Linked DNA regions of Drosophila melanogaster. The protein of the gene in region 2 purifies or fractionates together with the protein of the main gene of each other region. This does not show direct contact. Each region holds a gene or a part of one and is shown on either strand. Other genes may lie near its edges. The genes, in order: mei-38, CG16863 and Rab8.

What was found.
Region 1: the proteins of CG16863 (region 2) and mei-38 purify together in Drosophila melanogaster (affinity purification with mass spectrometry, with the first as the bait; one large-scale study listed by BioGRID). This does not show direct contact.
Region 3: the proteins of CG16863 (region 2) and Rab8 purify together in Drosophila melanogaster (affinity purification with mass spectrometry, with the first as the bait; one large-scale study listed by BioGRID). This does not show direct contact.

The regions. Positions count from the first base shown.
Region 1 is NC_004354.4:1,473,967-1,482,460, reverse strand, and holds mei-38 (meiotic 38), read right to left. Parts: upstream 5,399-8,494; 5' UTR 5,270-5,398; coding exon 5,173-5,269; intron 5,089-5,172; coding exon of another isoform or gene 5,086-5,088; coding exon 4,232-5,085; coding exon of another isoform or gene 4,205-4,231; exon of another isoform or gene 3,979-4,204; intron 3,910-3,978; exon of another isoform or gene 3,223-3,909; coding exon of another isoform or gene 2,272-3,222; exon of another isoform or gene 1,602-2,271; intron 1,454-1,601; coding exon 1,361-1,453; 3' UTR 1,041-1,360; downstream 1-1,040. Other genes in the region: sta (stubarista), read left to right, coding at 1-574; rush hour, read right to left, coding at 2,272-3,222; Rab27, read left to right, coding at 6,149-6,205, 7,667-7,786, 7,951-8,484.
Region 2 is NT_033779.5:13,788,481-13,794,996, reverse strand, and holds CG16863 (uncharacterized protein), read right to left. Parts: upstream 4,039-6,516; 5' UTR 3,970-4,038; coding exon 3,833-3,969; exon of another isoform or gene 3,780-3,832; coding exon 3,402-3,779; intron 3,333-3,401; coding exon 1,862-3,332; 3' UTR 1,733-1,861; downstream 1-1,732. Other genes in the region: Sec71 (secretory 71), read right to left, coding at 1-101, 369-1,149; Eato (engulfment ABC transporter in the ovary), read right to left, coding at 4,696-5,140, 5,207-6,209, 6,277-6,516.
Region 3 is NT_037436.4:19,865,698-19,873,637, reverse strand, and holds Rab8 (Rab8), read left to right. Parts: upstream 1-2,559; 5' UTR 2,560-3,133; coding exon 3,134-3,257; intron 3,258-4,079; exon of another isoform or gene 4,080-4,111; coding exon of another isoform or gene 4,112-4,130; intron 4,131-4,209; coding exon 4,210-4,270; intron 4,271-4,330; coding exon 4,331-4,535; intron 4,536-4,773; coding exon 4,774-4,914; intron 4,915-4,992; coding exon 4,993-5,085; 3' UTR 5,086-6,150; downstream 6,151-7,940. Other genes in the region: Usp32 (ubiquitin specific protease 32), read right to left, coding at 2,184-2,244.

The DNA.
Region 1 (8,494 bases), on a different chromosome or scaffold from region 2:
TCCGATCGGCCAGCGCGCGGTGCTGAAGTTCGCCAAGTACACCGACACCACTCCGATCGCCGGCCGCTTCACGCCCGGTGCCTTCACCAACCAGATCCAGCCCGCTTTCCGCGAGCCGCGTCTGCTGGTGGTGACCGACCCCAACACCGATCACCAGCCCATCATGGAGGCCAGCTACGTGAACATCCCCGTGATTGCCTTCACGAACACCGACTCGCCTCTGCGCTACATCGACATTGCCATTCCGTGCAACAACAAGTCGGCCCACTCTATCGGTCTGATGTGGTGGCTGTTGGCCCGCGAAGTGCTCCGCCTGCGTGGCACCATCTCTCGCAGCGTCGAGTGGCCCGTAGTCGTCGATCTGTTCTTCTACCGCGATCCCGAGGAGGCCGAGAAGGAGGAGGCCGCCGCCAAGGAGCTGTTGCCGCCACCCAAGATTGAGGAGGCCGTCGACCACCCGGTCGAGGAGACCACCAACTGGGCCGATGAGGTTGCCGCCGAGACCGTTGGCGGAGTGGAGGACTGGAACGAGGACACCGTCAAGACCTCCTGGGGTAGCGACGGCCAGTTCTAAGGAATCGTCCGGGCCACAGATGGCACTACATCAGCACAGCGTTTTGTCAGGAGCCTTTTCAACGGCATAAATAAACAGCTGTTTATATCTAAACACCTCGTTTTTTTTTTCTGCATAGCGTAGCCCAATATCACGTGCTTCCACCTTATTATGCACGATATATTTACTAGTATCGAAGCGATCTAACGCATTTCCATAGCTGGGCTCTACTGTGAGTGCCAGAAATTCTGAGAAAATAGGAACCATTCAAAAGAAATGAGACAAATTTTCTTACGGATCCCCGCCCAGATTAGAGGGAGACAGGCAGCTCTCGCTGTTGCATTCCATTCTGGCTGCAGAGAAGGGCGGACGATATATGTATGAACATATGTACATATGTATGAACATATGTACATATGTATGAACATATGTACATATGTATGTACATACATATGCATTATCCATGCATACGAATGGCAGTCTTGTTCAATTTACAGTATTAATTTATTGTTTTTTGGGCTTTGTACAAATAGAAAACAGTTAATGATCGCAATTGCAAATTGCTTATGTTGTATACATATCCATATAGTTTATCCTCTCGCCAAACATACGATTTTAGTGGTTCTTATCCGCCAAAAACGGGAACGATATATGCGTAAAAGTAATGTTAATGTTAAGAGACAAAAATTGTGTTAATCTGGTAAAACTATGCATCGGTAAACACGATTATGTGTAGCATCGACTTCACTTCATTTAAATTTGGACAGGGCTATCAAACGTTTGGTAGTCGATTGGTTCCGTCGAGCACTATTTAAATGGATTCGGACGAGCCTTGAATGCCGTCATCTTGCGCAGCTCCTTAATCTCCTCCTGCTCGCATCGCTTCCGTTGTTCGTCTTGCTGCAATGGCAAAGGCGGAAAGGAACACGGATTAGCATTGAAATGTACACATTGGTCGTCGGCGGTCTGGTGCAGTGGAAAGGTGATGAGTATGTGTTGATTGCTGCTGTAGTGCATTCTAATTGCGACTGAACCTGGCGTACGCAACCTTTGTCTCTGGCCACTCGGAGAGATGCATGGATGACTGTCCGCCTGACTCATTCAACGCCCGGAGGCAAAAATGGGCTCTCAATGGCCATCTAACCCTATCGGCTGCTCTGTACCGCTGAGTCACGACGGGAGTTTCAGAACGATAAGCCGGCATTTGGACTGGGCTGGGTAGGGCAGGGCTGGGCTGCTTGTGAGCAGATATGGGAAACATCTCACATCATCAGACCGTTTGTTTGCCAACGAATAATAGAGCAGCAGCAACCGTCGCAGCCACTTGGCTGATAAGGCTATCGCGCTCAGCGGAATTCGCGGAAAATGTAAAACGAGAAGAATAAAAAACCAAAACGGAGCCACTGCAAGGTCGCAGTCACGAGCAACGTTCTATTCTAGACTCTCCCAACTTAGAACTCGATAAGCCTCAAATTTTGCACGTCCTTTATCTAACGCATAGGTATAATGAAAGATCCGAAATTGGGTCCGAAGGTCTTGCAATGAAGATGACGGGAATCGTCGGTTGTTCAAATGTACAGTGGCTATGTTGGGCATGTTCAAGGAGACTTCGTCACACCGCGATTCGTGTCTACAAGGTATCGGGATATGCGTTGTGGGTGGGTGAGAGCTTTTCTGCGATATCTACCATAATCATAATCATTCGCTATGTGGTCCGTTCAACAGTGGCTGCCCGTCGTCGCAACGGCAGCCGGGGAGCTTTGGACGCTCGGTGTCACCTGGGGAGCCTCCAAGCTGCCAGTGGTGGCGGAGGAGGGCGAGGTTATCGTCGAGGAGTCTTCGACGGCGGATAGCACGCTGTTGTCCCCGTAGAAGCGCGGCTCATCGTGCGACTCGCCACCAGGGGAGGCAGTCTCCTCGTCGGAGTCCTCATCGTTGGAGCTGTCGCCGGCTGTTGTGTTGAGCTTGTTGCCGGAGGCAGCGCCGGTAGCCGCTGCCGAGTCCTCGCCAGAGCCAAGGGAACTTGGCACGTGCTTCAAGCGCTCGTAGCAGGCGTCACAGACGCGCAACGCCTTGGTGCTCTGCTGCGGAAGCAGGAACTTCTTGGCCGAGCAGCCGGCGCAGACAACAGCGCCGCAGTTGCGGCAGTGATGCCGGCGCTGGATGAAAGTAAACTGCGTCTTCTTGCAGTGCATGCAGACGCTGGCGTCGGTGTCGGGCACCCAAACGGCGGCGTGGTTCTCCACCGGCTTCTTGCCGCTCTTGCGCAGCAGGTCCTCCACGCACTTGTTGATGTGAGCCATCCACTCCTGCTTCTCGGTGCTGGTGGCCGCAAACACCACAAACGACTTGGTGGTGGTGCGGATGTACCAGCCGTTTCTGTACGTCTGGTTGTCGGCAATCGATTCCAGCGAGACCTCCTCCAGCGGCATGATATGCTGCTTGTTGTACTTCTTCTTGCCAATCACTATGTTTCCGTACACCAGGATGTCGTTGAACAGGAAGAACTGGCGCGACTTGGGCCGCTTGCGACACATCTTGGTCAGCACGCCCTCGCCCACCAGAACGCGACCTTGCATCGCCAGCGGCACGCCCGAGCTCCCGAAGCAGTTCTCCACGGAGGCGATGCGGCGCGTGTTGGCCTCCGAGTTGACCAGACGGTCCACCATGACGATAATAGGCGCTTGGGCTCGGCTTGGGTTTGGCTTTTGCTTTTGGTTTGGGCTTAACTTCGATTCGAGTGCGGCGAAAGTTGCTGCTCAGCTAGCTCGATCCGAGTCCGAATCCGAGTCGAAATGTAGCCAACTGTGACGACAGACTGCCTGCTGCAGTGGTGTGCGTGCGCTCGCGCCGTGTGTGTATGGTGTGACACTCGGTGCCACAGCTCCTCCAGAAATGTGTGTGTGTGTGTACGTGCGTGCTTCGGTGTGTGCGGACTGGGCGCAGCTGTTGCAGGTCCTGGCAAACGGTGAGGAAGTGGGGCGACTGGCGGATCCTGGTTCCGGAATGCAGGGCAACAGCTCCCGCTTTATGCAATGTTCGACGGTTGACTGTAACTGGCTTTTCTACGCCGTCCGAAACGTCATGACTCACTCACACCACAGCAACAAAAACAAACTGAGCTCGCTCCGTCTCGCTCTGCCCACCGCCCGTGTTATTGTTTGTCGAGCGTCGGATTCCCGACCTGGGGCTGCTGCACTGGAGAACTGGGGCGTTCTTGGATAGTTGCCGTACGGCCCTTGAATTTGGGTCTCGTGTTTGGGCACAGGAGAGGTTTTGGGGCTGGCAGCAATACTTGGAGAAATACGTTATTTTTCGAGCGCAGTGTGGCCGCTCGCGGATCGCAGCTAAATGCCGGCGCGCTGGTGTTGGAAAACTCCCCGTGGCGGTGGGAACGCACTTTTTGAACTTAACGAACGGTGCTTACACTGAGCCCTCGAAGGGGGGTCATTTGCAAATGGTTTATTACATTGGATTAAACAATATATTCTGAAAAAATGTAGGAACAACTAAGCCTCTTCAAGTTAATGACTAAACACACGGTCAGTTGCTAAGAAACCACCTAAACCAGCAGCACACATCACATAAATCACATAAATGAAATTCCGGCCCTGAGCTCGAAAATTATCTGCTTGTGTTCGGAACCAATGCTTAAGGGCTACTAGATTTAGTCTTTACCTCCTTCTTCTTCTGCTCCAGGCTGACCTGCACGGCGGCGTCGAACTCGCGTCGGTCGCGCACGCGCTGCTCGCTGCGCAGGTGGAAGGGTCTGGAGCGGGTACCAGCCGGATGCAGTCGCGCCTGGTCGGCCGGATCGTCGTCGCGACGCCGCTCCACGTTCGACTGGCTGTGCTTGAGCGTCTCGGGCGTGCGCGGGACGGTGATTTTGTGGATGACTGCCAGCTCGTTCATGCGCTTGTGCATGGCCTTAAAGTTGGGCATGGGTCGGCTGTGGAACTGGCGCGCCTTGCTTTCCTCCTCGGAGCGCTTGCGCATCGCCTGCTGCCGCTTGCTCTCGTACACGTCCTTGAACTGGTATGCCTTGGGGGCGGCGGATGTGGCAGAGGCGCCGGCTCCCTCGTGCTCGCGGTGGCGTGGGGGTGACCACTCCAGGCGGAGCTTGGCCCCGACGCCGGGAGGACGTTCCTGGTGGACCAAGTGCTGATCGGCCTCCGTCATGTGCTTCTCATCATCGTCCCCATCCTTGCCCCAGTTGAGCGGAACAATTTGTTTGATGTCGTCCTGCGGCTCTGGGCCGTTGTCAAGTGGGGACACTTGAGCCAGCTCCTGGAGCTCTGTTTTCAACTTGAGTTCTGGCACATCGTGGGGCTCAACTTTGGGCTTGATAGTGAGTGCATCCTTGGACGCCTCTGTCGTGTCTTTGGGGGACTCCTTCTTGAGATCCCCAGCACTAATCAGCTTGCCATCGAAGTCACCATCGCGCTGTTCCCGGCCGATCTTCTGCGGAGTGGTGCACAGCAGGAGGGGGTTAACATTGCTGAGGCTCCTGTTGTTCTCCTTGTTGGCCCGTGCTGCTGGGAAATGCGGGAAATGGTCAGCAATGGTCGGCCAAAAATGGCGCGTTTTCTCAGCTTGGACGCGGTGGCCTGGATACGCACCGAAAAAGTTCTGGGAGTGATCCAACTGGTAGTCACCCACGTTGATGGCGTCCCAGTCGAAGTCCGACTGGCCAAAAGTTGAGCTTGCGTTGTCCATGGCCAGTAAATAGAGAATAAAACCTCAACCGAGAAGTTTCCGCACCGATTCAAAAAAAAAAAACAAAGCAAATCCCGAGCCCGCAAGAAACTCGATAAGTGCAATTAAATGGCGGCGCTTTACAGCACTGGTTTATCTCGCGATACTTATCGATAGCTCTGCGCGCGCAAACTTCAATTTACTGAAAAATGTGGCTCAGTGTTATTTAGTAACACGAAATTTGATTGCTGAACACTAGGATTATAGAAACAGTGGACTATTCGAGCACGGGATACACTCCTGACTTTGAAGCCTTCGTCGGAGAGCAAAGCTTAGGCGCCGTCCCGCGGAAGCTCCGTCCAAAGCCGTTCCATTCTTAAAGTTGCCCGAGGGATTATGTCTCGAGAGTGCTTCGAAGTACTCACGAAATAACCACGTTCCCGTGGGAAAGGACACCTGTGCGGCGCACCTGTCGCGCGCGGAAGCGCTTGAAAGCTGGCGCAAGCTTTGGCTGAAAGCTGAGCCTCGGAAAAGGGACTGCCTGTTGGCGGCCAACGAGCCCTGTAGTCTGTGCTGGGCAGCGCATGGCAACAGGTCGGGCAGCGCACCGCCCAGAGGATCCACTGCGTTGCATCCGCAGCATCCGCACAGCCTCGGAGTTTTCGAAGTCCTCGTGGGTCGCTTGTTTTCGTTTAGCAAACCTCTGCAAGGTGGTTGAAGGTCCCTTCCCCCGCGCGGACGAATTGCGCGCGCTAAAAATAACGGTTGCCCGCCCAGTCAGTCTGGTCCAGTCAGCTGAATCGCAGATTCCTTCCAGATCCTTGGAGTGACGAGTGGCGTGCGGCGTGCCGAAAGAAGCCGCCTTGGGCGCCAAAGTCGACGGCGGGCGTCGGAGCAGAAATGCGTGCCGCGCCTCCTGAGCCTGAGCCTCTGCAATTAGCCGGATCCGGTGAACAGGTGAGCTGAGGAACTAAGGGGCTAAGGTGGCGGTGGCTATGTTTAATCGCTCGGCAGAAACGCGGCAGCTGCAGCTAATTACGGCACTGCGGTCTAGCTTTAATTGGAAGCCGTCCTTGTCCTAGTGCAGCTGGACGCGCTGAAAGGGCGGAAGGAAGCTGGGAGGACGTCCTTGAGTGGAGGCCTTGTGGTTTGCTCCTAATTGCCATCACTCGCCTTAGCCCACCCCCCTCATGTTGAACACCACCCCCGGAAACGGGAGGCTATTTCCGTCGCTAGGCCCACCTGAGCCCCGCAAGATCTTGCGAATCAATAAAGGTTTAAAATTAACCGTCAGCCGAGTGGGATGGCTATGGCTGTGCGTGCATGCTAATTCGATTTGCCCACCAACCACTGTCCACCCGCCTACCATCTCCCCCTGGGAGACTTGGCGAGCAGCAGACGACTGTAACCTATGCGTGCTCCCTCTGCGAGGCAGCGGATTCGGAAATAGGGGCCGGAGACGTGAGACAGCTGCCGGAAACGGGAGGAAATTAGATTACAAGACATCAGCAGGCAGGATTCCATTGAGTGCTGCCGGATTCGGGATGCGCAGAAGGCGCACTGGGAGCGCGGTCCCAGTTATTACTTCGATCTCTGTTGTTACTTTCCAGTGACGGAGGCCCCGTTGTCTAGCAACCACTTCAACCGCAGGCAGCGACCGTAATCCGCTTAGCGCGGGAAGGAAGCCAGGGTGCAGAGATGCTGCACGTTCTCTCCTCCTGCCCACCGCATCGCGTCATTTTGAGCGTTGGCCGTTGGTCTAATTAGCGGGGCAGGGGCGGGGTTAGCCTTCCTATGCTCCAGCCACTTTCCACTTTTCTACTGCCCCTTGTCATCTCTCTCTGTTCTGCCGAGCGACATACCGTTGGGCGCCGCTTCCAGCGGGAATGCTCGAAATCTCGATCGGCTTGTCCATTGATGCGGAAGCGGGCGAAAGGGATTCCCCGCCATCGCGACCCATCGAACCCACTCCACACGCCCGAATTTCGCCCGGAACGGGACAGAAAATCAATAAATCGGGATTTAATGAGTTTCAAATATTTGCCACGGTGCAGCGAGATGGTGTGGTGTGGGTAAGTGGGTCGCATTATGGGGGTGGCAGCTGGCAGTGGGTGGGAGCCACGCTCACGAAGATGCCTCCCGATTAGAGTGCCCCGCCTCCGCTCCTGTCAGCCTAAGCCCGGTCTTACACAAAAGAGGAGGAAGAGTGGCGAGTGGATAGACAGCAGGGGCAGGAGGCAGGAAGCTGGTAGCTGGGGGACAACCATTGCTTGGGAGAGCTGTACAGGAACGGGCAGCTCATTCGTTTCCCTGCTTCCAGGCGGACGGGATGCGTCTGCGGTCCTGAACGTTCCAAACGCGCTGCTACGAACGGCCATTATGACGGGCGCCAACATCGACTACGATTACCTGCTCAAGTTCCTCGTCCTGGGCGACTCCGGCGTGGGAAAGACCTGTCTCCTCTACCAGTACACGGATGGCCGGTTCCACACCCAGTTCATCTCCACTGTGGGCATCGACTTCCGCGAAAAGCGGCTGGTAAGTTCAAGCGGCTAATCATCCTGTGATCCTTTTCATGGGACTCACCTAACATAGCCAACACAATCCTAGTGAAGTCGGTTTGAGAGTCACGAGGATTTTGCAACCACATCACTATCATTTCCGAACCCTAGTGACCCATCACTTTTTTTTGCATCCTTCAGCTGTACAACTCCCGCGGACGCCGCCACCGCATCCACCTGCAGATCTGGGACACCGCCGGACAGGAGCGCTTCCGTTCACTAACCACGGCGTTTTACCGCGACGCCATGGGTTTCCTGCTCATCTTCGACCTGACCAGCGAGAAGAGCTTCCTGGAGACGGCCAACTGGCTGTCGCAGCTGCGGACGCACGCCTACTCCGAGGACCCCGACGTGGTCCTCTGCGGCAACAAGTGCGACCTGCTGCAGCTGCGCGTGGTGAGTCGCGACCAGGTGGCGGCCCTCTGCCGACGCTACCGGCTGCCGTACATCGAGACGAGCGCCTGCACCGGCGCCAACGTCAAGGAGGCCGTGGAGCTGCTGGTTGGCCGGGTCATGGAGCGGATCGAGAACGCGGCCTGCAACCGCGAGTTCTCCCTGCTACTGACCCAGTCGCGATGCCTGCCGAACATCGCCTACGGTCAGCCGGAGGACCTGGTGCGCCTCCACGATCGGCGAGAGGAGCCCTGCTCGCGGCGCAACTGCCGCAACTGTTAGGTGCCATGCC
Region 2 (6,516 bases):
CACACTGTCGTGATCCGAGTGCGAGGAGTAGTCGTTTCCATTAAGTGTTGGCTCTGGCTCACCGACCGATTCCTGATCCTTCATCGCCTCATTGTAGGCAGCTGAAAAACGTAACTGTCATTATTTTCGCGCAATGATAATTAGACGGTTTGGAGGAGTGGAATTTTATGTTGGACCTTATCGTATCGTACTGTAAATGATTCATACAATTTTTTCCCATCCGATAAGAAATATTTTATGAACTTAATTACGTTTCTTGAAAATATTGAAAAATAGTTAAATCTAAGCGAGTTAAGTAGAATAATAAGCAACTTCAGCTTAACAAGAAACATCTGTTTATCAAACTTTCTCCACCGAGTGCCACGCACCTGATATGATCTCCGCCAGCAGTTCCGAGGCAATTACTTCGTCGGAATCCCGCAGCGACTCCTCTCCCGAGCCATTGCAATCCTCCGAGTGGATGCTGCCGTTGGTGGGATTGGAATTGGGAGGTGGTAGCTCGTACACTTGATTCTCCATGCGGGCAAATATCACGTTCAACATTTGGGTGAGCGTAGCGCGTGCTGTGGTCTGATTGACCAGGTTCTTGCTGGACAAATAGATGTCGTAGCAGGTGCGCACAGCTTGCAGCAGTGTGAATTCATGGATTTCCACATGCTGCGAGGTGACCACCGTGAGCAGAGCCTTTATTATCTGCAGTTGGACGGCCTCGTCCGTCTGGGGACCACTGAAGCAGCCATATATGGTCACAACGATACGGTCGATGAGCAGGTGACCCGGATTGGCCGAGTCCTGAATGGATCCTGTCAAATGGCCATAGGCAATGAGTTTCTGCAGGCAGTCCAGTGCGGTGACCACGATCCTGGGCGAGCGGCTCTTGCAGGCAAGCTCGAAGGGGAGAAAGTAGGTCTCCGCATTTATGATGCTCGCTGCATCATTCTTGGGCAGCGGGAGTGCGGCACAGGGCAGCTCATTGCCCTCTGCGATCTGGCCGGCACTGATTAGCTCCGCCTTAATCTGCTCCAGCGCCGAATCGCAGGACTTCTTCAGCTGCGAGTGATGGGAGCGCCGTATGTCCTTATCGGCAAGGATCTTTTCTAGAGCACGCACGATGAACATTTCCTTGGTTTTTGTGGAGTTGTTGTGCATATTGGGCCGCTGCCACTCCCAAGGTCGCCTTCGCTGGGTGGGTTTCGATGCCTCTTTCCCTACTACCACTGCTTCGGATTTCCCTCTGCCCACCGCTTCCGGAAACAACAGCCACGCAACTTTCGCCTGCTGCCTTCTGGGTGCTCCGCCAGCTGTGCGGAGTGCTCCTCTCGGTTGGATTGTCGTGTGGCGGCACTCGGTGAGTTTTTAGCGTGTCGTGGATGTTTGCATGTTGCAAATCTCTCAGTTTTTCCACATTTACATTCCCTTCAAAATACGAAAAAACGTCATCAGAAGTGTGACCGTGTAAGCGAAAATTACTGAGCTGTCGGCAGTGTTGGGAAGTTTTTGGTATTCTCTCGGTTTTGGTATTTTTGCTAATTTGCTGGTGTTATTGTTATTTGAATTTGTAACGGCGATTTGTGATAACAAAAGAAAAAAGTAAACAATAAAGTTATATTTAAAATAAATTATTTGTGTAAATATGTGTAGTAAATAGTACTTACAAATCTTTAATGAATATGTGTTCGTTATTCGTTCCCTACCTCTAATTTTCTAATACAAAAATAGTTCCTTAACGCTTGAGAAGCTAAAAAGTTAAAAAATGTATTTTATAGTTCGCATTATTGTAAATGTAAATTAATAAATTAGTTAATAAAAGGGGTACAAAAACACAGTGCTCAACTTAGGTTTGGATTGATTATGGACTACGCTATAACTGCCACTCCTTCGTTGGAATTTCCGCCATGAAGAGTATGTTTTCCATGTTGTTTTCGATTAGTCTGGCGTACTGCGCCGCAACCGCCGCTCCTTCGGCCGTAAATAGCCGATCCGCCGGCTCTGCGGTGGCCGGAACGTGCAGGTACCTCTGTGCTACGTTGTGCAGGAAGGGGTGAGCTTCGGCCAGTTCCTCCCAGAGCTGAAAGGGATCGGCTCGCAGGGTACTCATGCCGGCGCAAAAGTATCTGGCTATCTCATCGTCCGCCTCGGGACCGTTGCTGCCGTTTACAATCCTTTGCTTCCCATGCGAAAAGGATTTGAATGCCGCCCAGATATCGTAGTGATCACGGTTCTCCGGATGCTTTGCAACAGCTTGCTCCCCGCTGTCCACATGCGCCTGCATCATGTCATAGAGTTGAGTCATGTACTGGGCCACCAGGGCCCCACTCCGGAAGGGAATATTTCGAAAGCGTGGGTCCAGCAGACTTGCCAATGCCAGGTGCAAGTTGCGCTCCATTCGTTCGAAGATCTCCTCCAGCTGCTGAACCAGGAACAAGCGTATTTCCCTGGCAACCATGTGTTCCGCACTCTTCTCCTGCTTCAGTTCGTTGATCAGAGTTTGGGCAATGGGCAGGGCTGTGCTGGCCGCCGGATATGGTGTTCGACTTAGCTCACGCATGGAGCTGGTCAACGGCCTCAGCACGTCCAGCAATTGCTGACACAAATCCACCTCCGATGTCGAAAGCGGCAGCGGCTCTTGAACGAGAGTCTGTTTCAGGTATAAGTCTAGCATATTGTACACACTAATCGGTCGGTGTATGGAATCCAGTTGGGGATTCAGCTGCAATGTGGACTGCACATGGGAACGCACCTTGTCGCGCAAATGACGTATTTCTGGGCGCTGCACCACCTCCTCTAAAATAGAATTCAATTGGTCTGCGAAGCAGGGAACATGATGATGAGCGCCCATGAACGATGTCACCGCATCCTCCAGTAGTTGACTGCTCCTTGTCGACACGCAGCAGATCCTTGACTTTGGAATGTCGAAGCGCTGACACACTTGGTCCATGCGATCCACCAGATCGTTGGAGGTGAAAAGATCGGGAAGGCGCAGCACAGAAAGAGTTCGGGAGATTCGTTGCCGCCCCTCGTGAAAGTGGGCCACCAGCTCCATCCAGCTTCGACTCTCCGCATTCGTGTGCACCGAGCAACTTAGGCTGAGTGTCGAGATGTCGGCCAACTGCTGGCAGAGCTTGGACCTCTGCGCTTCCGACTCCCTGCAGATAATGGCCTCCAGTTTCGCCGCACTCGGTGGTCTGTAGGTGGGGCACAGTACTTTCACTAGGTGCTGGAATCCCTCGCCCTGCACAATCTGCAATGACTGGCGGTCACGGCAGACAAAGAAGGCAATGTCCTTGTGAAACGGACTCTCGCTCGGCAGAGGTTCTTCCATTTTTAAGTTGCTGGGTAATAAATGAAGTTTACTACAATTGTATCTATCTTCTACCTTCTATCTTTTGATTAAAACTTACTCATGGCCGGCAAATGGTACAGCATGAATTTGGGGAAGTGGGCTTTTCTCCGACTCATCGAGCTCCTCCTTGGGTTCGAATTCGATGATATCGTCGCCGCCAACCGTCTCCGTTCGGGACACTGTGGCCTCCGGAGAGACCCACGCATACCCGACGCTCTTTGTTGAGATGCGATCCTCAGCAGCCGCCTTGATCATTCCTTGATCATCCAGCTCGATAATGCCGCTCGCATCCTTGGCAGCCTTGAACAACAGCTCGCTGTGGAAATCAGAGCTCTCTTCCTTGAAGGGAACAACCTTCCGGAATCGCAGCTTGTCATCCTGCTCCCGCCGCTTGTATATGCCCCGCTCCACCACCACATCGTCGTCGAAGAGGTTTCTTCAAGAAAATTTTCATTGTGAAAGGTTTTTGAACTCAGGAGCCTTTCCTACATCTGCGGATGGGTCTTCATGTGCTTCATCAGATTGGACGTGTTGCCGCTTGTCTTGATTACTTTCTCGCAGAGCTGGCACTGCGCGGAATTCCGATCCAACTTGTCGTAGAACTTCCATATTCTGCTACGCGACATATTCGGCATAAACGATAAATTAACGACGAAAAAAATGAATATTTTGTAAATAACGCTACATTAGTGTGGCCAAGTGGGAGATTTTTTGAGAATTTGACATTTCCATTAGCGCCTAAGTCGTCCAAGTAATAATAGTTTTATATTTATTTTTCTCATAATTAAATATTCAATAGTCAAGCTGGATAAAAAAATTACATTATGTATTACTTTTAATTCTTGAATGAATCGTTAAATTCCAAATATAGATCGTTTAAAGTTCCTTTTGGTATTATTATGAGTGGTATTTTAAAAATACTAAGGCGGGAGATTTTAAATTAAAAAAAAAAAAAAACGGGAGAATGCTATAGTCGAGTTCCCCGTCAATCAGATACCTGTTCCTCTACCAATAGAAGGGTATAAAACTGTTTTTAACTTCTTTTGAATTATGATAATTTACCTTAATCCCATAATCAATGCACATCAAATATTATGTAGAAATATTTATTATAATATAAATAAAAAATATTATTTATTTGTCGTACTAGTTATATCTTACTTTTATATTTTAGTTTTATATACCCATGTCGAAGGTGTTTGTTTGGTTTTATTAGTCCCTAAATACATTAAGTAGATTATTCCCACCGGATAGAGATTCATAAAAGTTCCATATTTGAGGGAAATAATGAAATGTACGACGCCCGTCTTCTGCTTATCTTACTTGATACTCCGACACTCCGACTATCTGGCCTAAACGTAGCTGCATTCCGGCCTGCGTTGCACGGAGGTTTGACGTGACGTCGATTGTGATTTCGCCTCTCTCTCGAACTTGAGGAAAATATCCTCGAGTGTGCACTCGTTCACCGAATAGTCGGCCACGAGAGCGCTTAAGCGATCGCCCAGATATTCCTCAGCTATCTTGAAAACACTTGACCAAAGGACCACACTCTCCTGCGTGCTAACAAAGTAGGTGAGTGTGCCGGCATGGCTCTCGCGCAGTTCCAGACCAGGAAACTCTGACTTCAACGTGCCAGTGATCGTGGACACATTCATCTCCGTTTCGGTGTCCGCCTTCATTTTCAGTTTTATCGTGAAGCCGCTTAATCGCTTAAGGGCGCAAATATTGTTCAGACACTTGAACTTTCCGTGCGCCATGATGGCCAAGCGATTGCACAGCTCTTCGCACTCGTCCATGCTGTTTGTAGAGAATGTGTACACTTTTGAATCTGTTTGAAAAGGAAATATACTTTTTTGGGCTTACCTATGTGATGTGAGCACCACTGTTCGATCCTTTCCCTGGAAATCCTTGATGCATTGCCAAAGAAATCGTCTCGAGATGGGATCCACACCGGTGGTAGGTTCGTCCAGGAGCACCAGTGCGGGTGCACCAATCATGGCCATTGCCGCCAGAAGCTTGCGTTTCGTGCCGCCCGAATAGTGGCGCACTTGCACCTTTTGATATTTGGTCAAATGCATCTTCTCTAGCCAGTACTTCACGTGCTCCTTGCAGCTGGCTGGTCCATCGGTCCTTCGGCGGCTCAGGCCGCGCAGCAATGCCATGTAGTATAGGCACTGCTCGGCGGTCATGAATTTATTTAGTGCATCGTACTGAGGGCAGTAGCCAAAGTATTCCCGGTATTTCAACTCATGCTCGCGAATGTCTGCGCCTTTGATGCGGATAGTGCCACCATCTAGAGGCAAATTGGCCGCTATCATCTGAAAGGTACTTGTCTTACCCGCTCCGTTAACACCCAACAGACCAAAGCATTCACCCTGGGCAGCCGCAAAGCTGACTCCGTCCACAGCCAGCTTATCGCCGTATCGCTTGCGAAGATTGTGCACAATCAGTGAATGGTCGTTCAATGGGTCTTTTATCAGATCGGTAACCCGTTTTTCCTCCCTTGCACAATCATCAATTTCTGAGATCGGAGTACTGGGAAGGGTGCCTGTCGAATTGTATTTCTTTCTTTGGAATGCCCATTCCCAGATGCCATCATGAATTCGTCTGCGCAGATACTTGTGTTCCAGGACTATGGTAAAGAATGCCATGACCATAACACCCACGGCGGTGGCATAGGCAAAGAAGGTGTCCTGGCTGATAAGACCCTTTATAAGTGCCGGATGGCGTCGGGTTATAAAGTTTTCATTGATGATGCGAAACTGGTGATTAAGATTGAAGTCCGGTAGGAAGCAGAGGAAGGCGATCTTGGTCTCATGCAGTTTCATGGCCGCCGCATTGCTGGAGGTGATAAGTGGGGCAATGGCTAAAAGAAAATGGGTTTTATAGTTTTTCTAATTGTTGTCACTGGTTATAAAATCAAATAATATTACCGGACACAATCAGCATCAAAAGCAAATAAGTAGATATCGTGGATATCGACTTAAAGTTGTTTCCCAGGGCGTATAGAATGGGCAGGTAGCTGCAGCCGTAGAAAAATATGCTTAACACAATGACCTTAAGTTCAGCCGTTGTATACAGCTCCGAGGGCATCATCAAGGATTGCAGACTGAACAGGGCAACGCAGACGAAGATCAGGATCAGCATATCAAAAGTAAAATGCGCAAACCAAT
Region 3 (7,940 bases), on a different chromosome or scaffold from region 2:
TAACCGACGTGCTGTCAATAACAAACTGATTATTGGGAACACATGTTCCAGTATGGAAACCCAATTCAAATACATTCGCTCTAATTGTTTAATAATATACATTATAATAATATCAATAAACATTATTTCCGAGCTCATTTACCAATTCCATTACATATGGTATTAGATTCGTTGTTACCTAATTAACCATTATCAGTAATTGATTTTTCACTAATTACCTGAAGTGCAAAAAGGTTACCCACAAACCAATAGAAGGTAACATGAATATTATGTTCTTTAACGATAATTATTAATTATATTAATTATATTTTAGGACTGTTTTCATATGATCAACAAATAAAAAAAATTTAACTAATATTTCTTGCCCTAAAACGATAAATTATATATAAGTTAAAAAATGAAGAGGGTATCCCGAAGTCCGCCACACAAAGTTAATTTTATTTGTTTAATAATTGTGAATCATTTCCCGTGGAATCAAAGCAGCATAACATACGACAGTTTAAAATCGTTTAGCACTTAAGTCAGAAAATGATAAGAAACGAAACAAAATGTTCTTGTTAATATCGTTGCGCATTCTCAATAGTATGCTAATTCATGTTACTTCATCTTAAATGTACTACATGTTCCCTATTTAACCATTTTCATTCATGCCCCGTTCATAACGTTATAATTCATAACGTTGATTATTTAATGTCGGAAATAAAAGGCCACAAGAAGCGCAATTAAATTGACAATAAATAAACCATTTTAATTTCAACGATCAGGTTGAGAACCCAGAGCCAACTGATAACCGCCAAACCGGGCGTGAAAATACATTCCCAAGTTGATTGGGCAATATTGCAGGCGAATTATGCGACGTCACGGAAACGGCATTTTATTGAATGTTAACTGCAACTCGAGTCTGCGATTATTGACCACCGCGCACATACTTGCATGCTAGTCCTCACTTCCCCCTTGGTTTTACTGGAACCGGTTGGAGTGGCTAATAAGAAACACACGCACCCGGTCGCACGCCCCACACCAGTGATGGTGGGTGGTGGAGGGGTGGTCCGGAGTGCTGGTGTTCCGGGGGAGTGAGCCTTATCAGCGACACTCGTTTTCTTAACTCTGGCTGGGCCGCCTGGCCACAAATCAGCAACCATAACCATAACAACACCAGCATTTAGATGATTGCCAGCGCAAAGGGAAGGCGGAATAAAGTAAGTGAAAAGCACTAAGGGAAGCTAAACGTCATTGAAAGTGGGCCGAAAATGGGTATACAAGTTGGCTTAAATAATCTTAACTCTTCTGAATGATTACCAATTTTATTGCTGGTTCATTATTATAAAATATTTGGAGAAGAGTGAACATTCCGATTTTCATACTTTGTAAATAAATTTCTATTTTTTTGGCTTATCAGCTTGTTTTAAACACAGTAATTCCTTTTCCTATCTGAACATATTCCACTTAAAGAGGAATTTTAAGAAATAAGGAAATGACATGCAGAATTAAAAGCCCAATGAATTATTTATTTTAAAACATTTTTCTTATGGATATTCCAATTGGAAAATCGAAATCCAAAATGCTCCCCTTTCATTATAATTTCATTTCATTATAAACAAAAAAATTTTAAAGTAGGCTTCTTTATAAAATACTTCAACAGAAGACCTTTGCCCATAGAGTGCGAATTGAAATGAACACTGGAATGACATGCTGAACTTGAAATGAATCGTATTCGCAGCGACATCCGCATCCGCGCATTCCAGTCACCCTAAGCGTGAACTGCACTCCACTGGCTGTCTAACTGTTTCTCATGTGCCTTCGCTGCTTTGTTGTCTCTCACCCACACAGCGCACACCTCCAACTGCCACCCCATTCGGTTAGCTTTTCTATTGTGACGTCATTGGCGGCGGAGACGCAAATACCCATGCACATGAAAACACATGCAATAAAGAAGCCACACTGGAATGGCAGTAGATAATTGCAAGAGATAGGATTAAGAGGAGCATGAGGATGGTGGTGGCGGAAGTCAGTGGTGATTCCCGTTGGTCAGAAGACGTGGGCGCAACAACACAATGGAATCGATTGCACCTGCTTGTACGTTGTTGTTGCTTTCGCAGGGGGTTCTGTTTTCTTGATTGGCAGTGACCTATTTTCTGCGGCTGGGAGACGGCCCCACAAGTAACCAGCCGGAGGAGACTCACCGCGTTTCACCGAATCCTCGTAGCTGACGCTATTGGAGTGCTTGGACTCCTTGGTGCCCATGGTCCAGAATTTCTTGTTTGCGGGGGTGCAACTCAATGGATTCTGGGGCTCCGCCTGCTGCTGCGTCTGGCGACGCCACTTTTCACATTTGTTCAACTTCACTTCACAGTCGCGGGCGGAACAATAGGCTGCTGGCGAGGATCAGGTGCAGGATCACGACGATATATGTGTATGAATATATAATATACACCTGTCTTTTTGACTCTTGTCTTGTGCTATTTTCCTCTGTTTCTTTCTATATTCGCGCACTTTCCAACACTAACTGGAAACAGCTGTTTTCCCCATCGTACGATAAGCTATCGATAGACGACGGCGCGCCAGTGTTGCGCAGCAACGAATTATCGAAACTCATATTTTTTGTACGGGCGTAATTAGAAAGCAGTAATTAACTTCATTTCCACGTAATTTTCACAACAAACCAACGTAGACTCGCACCGCGTAGCGAGCGCCTTTGCATTTGCCCACCGGAAAAGCCGCCGCACGAAATCCGAAACTCGGGCACAGACAACAAAAAGGTCTTAAATCTACGTCGCCATTTTTGACACGGCTCCGAAATCGAAAACACAACACACACACCCAAGAGAAAAAGAGCTGCGCTGCGGAGAGAAGGAAAAAACTATACGTTTTCGATTCGAGTCGATTCAATTAGATTGTGGATTAGTGCGGTTACGTCTGGGTATAGTGTATATGTACATACATACGCTAAACGGCACGCATGGGGCATAATCGTGATTAGTGTTATTAGCCAAGAATCGGAGAGGAAGTCAGTCAGTTGATTAAGGAGACGACGACGTGTACAGAGCATCATCACCCTTAACCCGTACCCTAACCCCCAGCTAAGCACTATTATCGGGCCAGATACTGTGATCCTACCGCAAAAGCACACAAAATGGCCAAAACCTACGACTATCTGTTCAAACTGCTCCTGATCGGTGACTCCGGAGTGGGCAAGACCTGCATCCTCTTCCGATTCTCTGAGGACGCCTTCAACACAACGTTTATATCCACAATAGGTGAGTGTCATCATCCGCGTTTACCGTGTCTTCCGATTCTTAATTTTTTTTTTTTTTTGGTTATTAATTATAACACCTTCGTTCGCATGAACTCATTCGCAATTGGAAATCCGAGCTTCTGGCCCAGTGACTCATTAAATGCCTCTTTTCTTTTTTATTTCCTGCCCCATCCGGGCGCATTTGTCATAAATATTGTTGTTTCCATGGGAGGGGCACTCCCACCATGTTTGATTTCTCGCGCTTATTAAGATTTTCCCGTAAGGAATATATCCGGATGCCTTATCTCGCCCTGAGATTCACACCCGCATAGGAAAGCGATCAGAAATGAGTACTCAGTCCGAGTACCCATAGTCTTTGTACTTTCGCTGCTCTTATCGCCCCAGAAGCCGGATTGTTCCGATGCGAGACTTGACCGTCGCACGCCAAATCGGGAATGCCCTATTATATACCCAGCAGGCCCATGCCCAGTCTCAGAGGGAATTCAAGTAGTTGTTCCCGTACGAGTACAGTGAAGCCTTTCTACCAAACACAGCAAATACTTTTTAATAAATTCGAATCATAATCAGTACAACTTCAAGTGGCAGTTAAATCAGATTATGCTAGTAATTTTAAGCTTATTAAAATAATAATCACAATAATATTCGACATGCACACTGTACTTTCCCGTACTTGTAAACACAAAAGTAGAGCGATTCCCATTTCTGCTCGTGGCTAATAATTGTTTATTTTCGTTTTTGGCACGTTTTCATCGCGACACTTCCAATTTTGGGGCATTTACTTAACGACATTGTTTAAATTAATTGCGTGGTTTGTGGATTTCGGTTCTCTTCGTCTCTTATTTTAGCTGCGATGTCATGGGTTCCGACCAAACAGGTTTAGCCTCTTGCCAAATTATTTAAATTAATTAGCAAACGTACATGTGTGTATATGCTCATCTGTTTTCTCTTTTCAGGTATCGATTTTAAAATTAGAACAATTGAATTAGATAACAAGAAGATTAAGCTGCAGATATGGTAAGTACTAGGCGATTCATCTGTATTCTCTAATTACCTATATCTCCATTCATTTTCCAGGGACACTGCCGGCCAGGAGCGTTTTCGCACAATCACCACGGCCTATTACAGAGGTGCCATGGGCATCATGCTGGTATATGACATAACCCAAGAAAAGTCCTTCGAGAACATCAAAAACTGGATCAGGAATATCGAGGAAAATGCGTCCGCCGATGTCGAGAAAATGCTGCTGGGAAACAAGTGCGAATTGACCGATAAGCGACAGGTATGGAAAAAAGAAATTGGTGATTTCGCTGGCTATTCCTCCAAGTTCGTTTATTTGTTTGTTCCATAAAAGTTATCTACAAACATTTTATTTATATATTTCAAATTCAGTTAGTGTATAATCATTTGTTATTAAATCCAATAAGGGATAGACAATGATTTGGCGCAATATTCTTTTCAGCTTCATAAAGCTATCTGCCCTTAAGGCCGATAATTAAACAATTTTCCACCCGTTGTAGGTTTCAAAAGAGCGCGGCGAACAATTGGCCATCGAGTATGGCATCAAGTTCATGGAGACCTCCGCGAAGGCCAGCATTAACGTGGAAGAAGCCTTCCTCACCCTAGCCAGTGATATCAAAGCGAAAACGGAAAAGCGAATGGTGAGTGTGCGGGTGGCGAGACTCGGACAAAGCGTTTTTTTTACTGTGGCTAACCATTTACATCCTTTGTGTGCGCAGGAGGCGAACAACCCACCCAAGGGCGGCCATCAGCTGAAACCGATGGACAGTCGGACGAAGGACAGTTGGTTGTCCAGGTGCAGTCTGCTTTGACGTGGCAACGTGCGCTCGGCACTGAAGCGGCATGGTGGCAACGACTACACGGTAGTGGTTTATGGTGGTAACTACGAGGTAGTAGTTTTCTTAACTCCTGTTAGGTTCGAGTACAAGCGGGACCCCGACAAGCGGACATTAACTGACATCTAAATCAACCTTAAACATCAATCAGCAGCCGGCTCCCTTTAACCGAATAAGCGCGATAATGGAATAGAACACAAATTGCATTATGAAACAGTTATTAAATAAAGTATATGACGACAGCGTGTACGAAATATACCTAGGCATGATAATATGTATACATATATACGTATATAACTCAAGTTTAAAGATAAAACGATCCAGCGATAGCGAAAATCGAAGAGCAGCCAATCCAACCCGCCCGCGTCCTTCTCGAAGAGGTTTTAGTATTTACGGAATTATGATTTTCTCTAGCAGCCATGGTTGTCGATTTGTAAATTATTAATTGTAAAACAAATATATTGTATGTACTATGTATGCATATGATTAGTTTACCTGTCCTTGTTTTGCTCATTGCTTGTATGTACTTTCGATCGATTCAGAAACCCTTTTGCCATTACGTTGGGAATACGACGGAGGAGGTCCAGACGCACAATGACCCAAAAGTGTAAAACAGCCCAATCCGCCCCGCACCTCCCCCTACCCGGTCCTAACTTTATATAATATAATGTGGTAGTATCGCACAGATCGAGGGTGCTTATTATATTCTTCTTAATCTTCACACACATTTCATTTGGTTAGTTCGTACTCTATTTATTTTGTTCTTTGCCGCACACCACATGACTTTGTCAATAAAACGTTACACCTAATATTAAAACATTAACGAAGATTTGCAGATTTGCGAGATATCACCAATTAAAGGTAGTCTATCGATGAGAATCGATCGGCAGCAATAAACAATTATGAACACATACACAGCGCAGTAATATAAATAATGTGAAATTAAATGATAACTAATTGCATATTTGATATTAATTAATTACTTGTAATATTAATGATTAAACGTATACAATTTTATAAAAATAAATCATGTGCAAAACCAAAAACTTTTTATTTGAAAAGATTTTATGGCTCGTTTCGTAGCGCTGAGCTTCTGTCATAACAGAGACAGGCGAGTTCGACGCGTCGGACCCAAAGTCGCGTAGACAGATTGTGCTGTGGAGCATTGTAGAGTATGGGCTGAGGACTATCAACTTATACAAAATGTCCATGCTGCAATGCACTGGGTTTCCCAGGTACACTTGAGAGGACCTTAAGAAATCCAATACCAGTTTGTGGGTAAGTCTATTCGCTCAGGGTTCGATCAGGGATTACTCTTAAATGATCTGGATCATGTCCAATGACCCAAGTCGGATGGAGAGGATTATGAATATGAATCATAGCTTAATCGTTGACATACCGACGAGACATCATGTTGCATTATGGGGCATCATAAATTTATATATCTGTGTGGAAAATTAAAGAAAAGTCCCGTAAAGTTCTTATTATATGGTGGTAAAAGAGTTCGAAGCTAAGCTAATTAAAAATTGTAAAAAGAGCCCGTGGGAATTAAACATCCCTCACATGGCCAGACCACTGCACCCTCCGCCTCTTCATCTTCTTCAAAAATCTAAAACTAAACTAAAAACTAACTAATCTTACTACTTCCTATCAAAATGCTAGAGGCTTGCGTAGCAAACTAACCAAATTGTATTGTAATAGCCTTTCCTTTGCATCCCGTATAATAGTGTTCAGAGACTTGTTTAAAGCCGGGGATTTAACTCCGAAGTCTTCCCACGTACATATGTACACATTATGACCGTCCCTCCAAATGGGAACGGGTTAGATCTACCCTCCCGTTGGAAGAGTTACTTTTTGACGAATCCCATAACTCAGAAATCATATGCGTAAAACTGTCATTTTCCGACAGATCAGTTTATATTATGTGCTCGTATATTCCGCTATCTTCTGAATTCCCAGAATATCTGAATACTTTGTCCGCTATCCAATCCATCTCAAATAAACTGTCTGACAGGGACCAATTGGTAGTTCTAGATGATTTTAATATACCTGGCATAATGTGGTCCCAGAAGAACAATCGAATATTCTTCTCCCTTTAGCACAACATGACTTTATGCTCGACTTATCGTTGTTGCAAGTTAATTATATTCGAAACTCTCTTGGTCGACTGTTGGATCTATGTCTTGTAACAAGTCCTGAAAGTGTGTTTCTGTCCAGGGTAGCACATCTTACTCAACCTGAAGATCCATATCATCCTACTTTCGAGGTGACAATCGACACCGTACCGTATTAAAAGTAAAATCGGAGAAGTCAACCAAGCGAATTCACTGTTTTCGCAAGGCAAACAATTTTATAGCTGGCTTTAATTGGTCCGATCCTTACTCTTGCAACATAATGACGGATGCCATTAATATGTTTTATACCGCAATTAAATCGTTTTTGACTCTTGTGTTCCGATGTACTATCCGGCAATCCTTAAACCTCCTTTGTTTAATAAAGAGTTGAAACACCTAAGAAATGTAAAGTCCAGACTTTATACAAAATTTAAAAATACGGTTCTAAGTCCATCCTTTCTAAATATTTAAGCGCTCGCTTAAACTTTACCGTGCTTAATGCTAAGTGCTACAGGAATTATTTAAGCCGTTGTAAGTTCCAGTTCGCACAGGATCCGAAACAGTTTTATAATTTCGTTAACACCAAGCGAAAAACCATTTCTTACCCTTCTTCGCTATTTTTTGAAAACACTACGGTAACATCGGATCAGGCAATAGCCGATCTATTCGCCAAGTTTTTTCAAACAACATATTCAACTTCACCTCATTCCGAACAGC